2 separate regions of the Mus musculus genome follow, and region 1 is reported to be linked to region 2. The links are microRNA targets in miRTarBase. Many come from high-throughput screens and were not tested one by one. Region 2 holds a microRNA gene; the other region holds the end of a gene's coding sequence.
What was found. The annotated mature microRNA mmu-miR-141-5p reads CAUCUUCCAGUGCAGUGUUGGA and lies in region 2 at 1,402-1,423, shown strand. An mRNA with a match to its seed (bases 2 to 7 or 8) in the 3' UTR can be bound and repressed. Matches are read on the target gene's strand: a 7mer-m8 pairs with bases 2 to 8, a 7mer-A1 pairs with bases 2 to 7 and ends in A, and an 8mer does both.

Region 1 (3,383 bases), not on the chromosome of region 2:
ATGAATAAAATATCTAATAAAAAAATAAAAAAAAAAGAAGGGGGATCAAAATACCCCTGAGAGGAGATACAGAAACCAGGTTTGGAGCAGAAACTGAAGGATAGTCTGTCCAGTGACTGTCCCACCTAGGGATCCATCCCATATACAGTTACCAAACCCAGACACTATTGTGGATGCCAACAATCAATTGCTGGCAGGACCTGATATAGCTGTCTCATGAGAGGTTCTGCCAGTGTCGGACAAATGCAGAAGTGGATGTTCACAGCCATCCATTGGATTGAGCACAGGGTTCCCAGTGGAGGAGCTAGAGAAAGGACCCAAAGAGCTGAAGGGGTTTATAGCCCAATAGGAGGAACAACAATATGAACCAACCAGTACCCCCATAGCTTCCAGGGACTAAACCACCAACCAAAGAGTACACATGGAAGGACTCAAGGCTCCAGCCGCATATGTAGCAGAGGTTGGCCTTGTGAGACATCAATGAGAGGAGAAACCCTTGGTTTTGTTAAGGCTATCCAGTGTATCCCCAGTGTAGGGGAATGCCAAGACAGGGAAGTGGGAGTCTGTGGGTTAGGGAGCAGGGGGGAGGGCGAATGGATGGGTGCAGTCGAATGGGGAAATGAGGAGAGGGGATAAAATTTGAAATGTAAGTAAAGAAAATATATAATAATTAAAAAAAAAAACTTGAGTTCTCAAATCATTTATAAAAATATCAATAGGTTGGAACTGGCCAAACTAATTCCTGAAAGCCTTGACCTTCTCTTTTTCTTCTCTTATCTCAGCCGTCATTGCTGGTGGTGTGATCGGCTTTCTCTTTGCCATTTTCCTCATCCTGCTATTGGTGTACCGCATGCGGAAGAAAGATGAAGGAAGCTACGACCTTGGAGAACGCAAACCATCCAGCGCAGCTTACCAGAAGGCACCCACTAAGGAGTTTTATGCATAAAGCTCCCATTTAGTGTCTCTATTTAGGAGAGCACTGAACTTTTCAAAATAAAGCTTTGGCATAGAATAATGAAGATCTTTGTTATCTGTTTTGTTCATTACAGAGCCATACTGGCCCTTTAATGATGAGAATTCCATTGTATTTAAATTTTTTCGTGTATTTCTTTAGAATGACATAAAAGTAAAAATCTAACATCTGCAGTGTTCTGTGAATAGCAGTGGCAAAATATTATGTTATGAAAACCCCTGACATTCATGGAATTGATTTGAACATCTATGTGCAAATACAAAATGATTGTGTTTGTCCTCTGGTTCAAAGATGACTGCTACTCCCCCTTGTCAGCAAGTCTCCAGTTAACCTTACTGAGTTGGTCTTCATTTATTTATCTCTTGTCCCTCTTCTCTACCCTCCCTTCTTGTCACCTTTCTTAGAAACAAAACCTTATGCCTTTTGTAGCTGTCATGGTGCAATTTGTCTTTGAATGATTACAATAATGGTAATTTAGTGTATATGTGATTTTTCTCAAATATGTTAACCTTAACCTCCACTTTATATAATGTTTTTAAATATCAGACTATCCATTTTATGCTTGCTTTAAATTTCATTACTTGTAGCTTCAGGCAGATTTGCAAAGGCAAATTAATGTGTAAAATTGGATTATTACTACGAAACTGTTTAGTCCTAGCTATCTTCTTTTGGGAGGATTTGACATAACGGACAAGCCTCAGCAAACCCAAAGATGCTAACAGTATTTTGAGAAGTTGCTGCAGATTCCTCTGGCCACTGTACTTGTTAATTTCTTGTCATTTGAAGGTACGAGAAAGAGTTTAAAGAAAAAAAAAAAAGATCAGTTTTTGTTCTTAACATGCATTTAAATTGCAAACATCTTTTTAAGCCTTTGAAGTGCCTATGATTCTATGTAACTTGTTGCGGACTGGTGTTAATGAGTATATATAACAGTTTTTAAAAAGTTGGTATTTTATAAGCACAGACAATTCTAATGGTAACTTTTGTAGTCTTATGAATAGACATAAATTGTAATTTGGAAACAACAAAAAAACCTGCTGAATAAATCACATGGCCTAATATTGAAAATGTCACTGTTATAAATTTTGTACATTTCTTACCAAATGTACATCTCCCCTTGCTGTGACTGACCGTCTGCTCTCAGTGACTATATGGGTTTGGTTTCTGAGTATCTCATGGTGTCTGTCAATCAAGACCAAAGAACCCCTCAGTGAGGCTGTTAATTACGAGATTTACCTCTAAATTGTTCAGAGGAAAAGTATTGTTATTCTGCATGTATTTGGGTGCAGGAATAGGATGACTGCCAGGGGATTTCAAGGTTTGCAGCCTTTGTAGTGTAGCTACTGACAATATTGAGAGAGATGCCTTCTTTTGCAATTTACTCTTAAAAGTATAAATTCCAAAGAAGCAAAGCGACCTTTCTAGAAGTAGGTGTCTGGGGAACAGACCTATAGAATTGCTTACCTGTCAAAGCTCCCCTACAGAAGAACCCTGTAAGTGACAACCACAGCCACTCCATGGGGTAGGAGGGAAGGTAGGGGGCTCTGCCTGTTGAATGACAGCCTGGCTGCTTAAGATGGATGTTTCTAGAAAAGGTAATGCCAGAGGAGGAGTTGGAGGCATGGGGGTGCCCCGATTGGGTACTCACTGAACAGAGCATTTCCTTTTTTTGTTCTGTTTTCTATTTTACCATTAGTTTTTAGTTTTAAACTGTGAGCCATGGAAGTAGAAAGAAGACAGCAAGATCCGCAGCTTTTCCAGCATAAAATTAACTTTTGATAAAGTTTGGCTACTTCGTTTGAGCACCTTCCCTGAGCTTGTCACAGAACACATTTAAACAAAACTAAAGTAACACTTGAAACAGTGCTGTGTCTGAATCTTTAATGGCCTTAATTCATACCTTTCTGTCCAATTACAGCTGTAATTCACCATGTTAAAAGGAAATGATGGGCCCTTCCAAAGCTGCACAATGCCCCTCAATTACGGAGGCTGAGAATGTAGTGGGTATACCTCTAACTGTGTGAAACAGTGGAATTTAATTTGTAGAATAACTTGCTTGGAATATCTATGCCAGGGAAAAAAAAATCCTGGCAAATATTTTGTCACTGCTGTAAAGCACATTTGTTAAAAGTGCCAAAATAAAGTCTGTCATGCCGAAAGTAACTCATTGTATAGACTCACATCCAATTTTCTGTATACTCTCTGCTTAGTGTGGTTTAAAAAAACAAAAAACAAAAAACTTTAAAGATATGGTAAATAATATCATAAAACTGTTATTAGTCATTACTGAGTTGAGAAAAATTTTGGTAAAACATAAATATTAAAGCCAGTGTGGTATTTCCTGCTTTTTAAAGCACATGTGAACAAACTCCCTGTGTGAGTATTGCTTTTTGTTTGAGAGACTGTAGCA
Region 2 (3,401 bases):
TAGGGCTAGGAGTTTCGGGAAGGGAGGCCTTTGGGCCCAGGCAGACACTGCCATCTCAGGGTAAAACCAAAGATCCGGCGCAATGCTTGGCGATCCACAGGTCTGTTGGGGCTTCCTCCCTTCCCAGTTCTCAAGGGGTTGTTGCCCGGCCCTGTCTGAGCCCTGGACAGGGACACAGACCAATGCCTGCCTAGCTGACCCCACACTGACCTCAGGGCTGGTCCTCTGACTCTGGCTGAGAGCAGGGTTGGAGAGGCCTCAGAGAAGAGGGTGTTTTAGCTTGGGAGGAAGGAGCCGCTGGAAGGGGATCCAAAGATGGCCTCTTTCTTTATTCCTTTAGAAACAGGGAAAGTACAAGGTAGAAGAAGAAAGGCGGCCAGAAAGGGCGGGAGGCCTGGCGGGGTGGCCAGGCCTCAAGAGGAGGTGCCCAGGGCTGGTGCTGGGAGGGAAGGGGTTAAGGCGGAGAGGGGGGCAGCCTATGGCAGGAGGACACACCTGTGCGCAGGGCAGAGGCGGGCGGGGCCCAGGTGAGGCGCCTGTGCTGCCCGGCAGGTGAAGGAGGAAGAGCGAGAGTGGAGGCCAAGTCGGCTCTAGGCGGCTGAATCCGGGCCGTTGGTACACCTTTCTTTCTTCTGCACCACTCTAGGGGTCAGGCGGGTCTGGTGCCAGGTAAAGGCCACCGATCAGGGGGGTCCTGGGGCTGCGCTAGCGACGGTAGAACGCAGTAAATGGGTGTGTTGGAGGGCAGGGACAGGCCGTGGAATGGGGGGGGGGGGACTGGCTCGCAGGTGGATAGTAGAGGCTACAGAAAGCTGGTTTTGGCCTCAGTGATGGGCAAGTCAGGGTAGGCCTGGTGGGGAGCAGCCAGGCTCTCCCGGAAGTGTCCCAAATGACGCGGAGGTGGGGGATGGGAGCAGGAGATCTGCCGCTTCTCTTGAGGGGCTTGGGCTTAGCCAGGGCTGATCTTGAAGGTGGACTGGTTGGGTAGGGGCCCTCGTCTTACCCAGCAGTGTTTGGGTGCTGGTTGGGAGTCTCTAATACTGCCGGGTAATGATGGAGGCCCCTGTCCCAGTGTCATCGGCGTCCATTGCGCGTCCATCGCTTTAGGCACTTTTATCTGGCAGCAACCCATTCCTCCCACACATAACCTGGAAGCCCCTTCTTCCGAGTTAAGGGTGGCTCTCGGGTTGGCTGGTTGCCCACTGGAAGAACACAATGGCCCCAGCCCCTCCTCCAATCCAGTGTGATTTGTCATCTGGTAGATCCAGAACCTACTAGAAGCAGACCTTGGCCTTGGGATTGTCTACGCGCACACAAGAGGCCACAGTCAGCCAGCCAGCAGCGGCTTCCCTCTAGCGCTTGATCAGCGGTAGATCAATTTATATTGGCTGGCTCTGGGTCCATCTTCCAGTGCAGTGTTGGATGGTTGAAGTATGAAGCTCCTAACACTGTCTGGTAAAGATGGCCCCCGGGTCAGTTCCTTCAGCAGTGACCTTGGAGCCTTGAAGACCACCTAGGCCTCCAGGCCAACAGCCTCTGACCTTTAACCTTCTGGATGGGTGTGTGTGTGTGTGTATCACTTGGCAAAGGGGAACAATGGGAAAGAGACAAAATGGCTGCCTTCAGAACAGCAGCAAGATTTGGAAACACATTTGGTCCCAAGACGCTGGCTTCCGTTGTCTTTTCACCCTGGGAACCTGAATGTCCATGGGGAACGTGGGATACGATTCCGGTCCATTCGGTGGTCTGTCTTAGGCTTCAGGAGAGACCTACTTCCTCTAAGAACCCAAGGAGCTGAAGCTCTGCTGCACCCTCTCGCCCAGTCAGGCTCACCCTTCCTCTATTGTATTCTTGTCTGCCCAGAAGGAAAAAACCAAGGCAACGGTTCTAGCGAAGTCCGTGAGCAATGGCTTGATTTCCCCAGTACTGGAGACTCGGTCTTCGTAAGAAAGGTAGTCTGTGGAAAATAGGTTCAGTTGGGCTCCCGGGCTGTGGGGGTGGGAAGGCCTCCTCCACAGGGAGAAACTTCAGTGCAAATAGCTCATCGTACCTGGTGACTAAGTAACAGCACACCGGGACTTAGGAACACGGAAACCCTTGGGAGGAACACGCCATCTCCCGGAGCTAACCAGGAGCTGGTTACCAAGGAAGCAGCTCCCCCTGGGGTCATCACGTTTTTAGTTTGGCTCAGCAAAGCCTCAGCTGCTTCAGCTTTTAAAAAGATGTCATTAAGTCTGTGGGTTCATTTGGTAGACCTGCGGGTGGGGTGAAGGTGTAGTTGGGCCTGAGATCGGCTGCTCCCAGCTTAGGTCCTGTTGAGGACCCGGCGGCAGTCCGAATGCTACAGGCCAGACTGCTTGTGCCCTCTGCTGGCCGAGTCCCAGTGTGATCAATGTCTTCGCGCAATCTACGTACACACTCAGACACAAAATTTTTGGCTTTAAGTAATAAAAATTTTATTGAGAATTCCTGGCATGGTGGTTATCTCCCCCACTCTGGGAGAGGCTCAAGGCTGTAGGAAATCACGGAGAAATCACATTGTCCCACCCCGCTTCCCAGCCAACACAGGAAGGAGGAAAGCCTCTGAAAGGGCTGGTCTCAGTCTTCCTTAATCCAAGAGGGCAGATACAGAAAAGTCCATCACATGATGCCTGGGGCAGGGTGGGCTGTGCTTGACCCCCGAGCTGGCTCCTCCAAGCTGGACAAGTGTGCCAACTTCTCTGGTGGTGGGGTTCTTGATGTCCACACTCATTTCTTACCCTTAATGAGGCTGTCACTGGAGAACAAAGGGAACATTCCTATTATCGGGGATGTAAGTGTGAGGTGCACAACACCCCAAACCACAGCTTCTTCCTAAATAAAGGCCTGACAATGGGGAGAAAGGGGGTGTAGGGGCAGGTCCAGGAAGCAGATGGCCCCCAGGACCCCATAGCAAGGAGGCAGCCACTTACCTTCCCCTGCAACCAGCATGCCATGAAGTGAGCAGGAAATATGTGAAAAGAGAAATAAATCGTTAGTCAGCTACAGGCTCAGCTGCTCCAGACCCGCACTCCCCAGTGAGGACGGCTCTTTGCCACTATCTGTGCGGTCCCAGCAACGTGGGTCTCACGTGAAATTGCTACCAGTCGTCACTTCTCATTTAGATATTTATAAAGTGCCTTTCCCATAAGACATCCTGCTTTGCTTTATAAAGTCAGTCCTAGAAGATGCAAGATAGGAACTGCCAACCAGACTGACACCCACTTTTCTGACTGGTGTTCAGAGAAACTGTCCACGGCCCTGGTAACTAGATAGTCCAGGATCCAGGGTAGTGGACGGGTGCTTTGCTCTCTGGACAGTGGGATCTCTTACCGAGTAAAACTTTCATCCTGTAGATTCAGCACAAGGTTGTCAGCTGTGAG

Region 1: miRTarBase lists Sdc2 as a target of mmu-miR-141-5p. The part of its 3' UTR that is shown has no 7-base or 8-base seed match.

Annotation. Positions count from the first base shown.
Region 1 is chr15:33,031,595-33,034,977 of GRCm38, forward strand. It overlaps Sdc2 (syndecan 2), which reads left to right. Exons shown (of 5, transcript NM_008304.2): 5 at 783-3,127. The coding sequence ends at 946. Among named protein-coding and RNA genes, the nearest start is that of Gm32764, 37 kb to the right of the region's middle.
Region 2 is chr6:124,715,981-124,719,381 of GRCm38, reverse strand. It overlaps Mir141 (microRNA 141), which reads left to right and starts at 1,397; the gene lies at 1,397-1,468. Phb2 (prohibitin 2) reads right to left here. Exons shown (of 10, transcript NM_007531.2): 8 at 3,352-3,401; 9 at 2,952-2,957; 10 at 2,437-2,776. The coding sequence ends at 2,749. It overlaps Mir200c (microRNA 200c), which reads left to right and starts at 992; the gene lies at 992-1,060.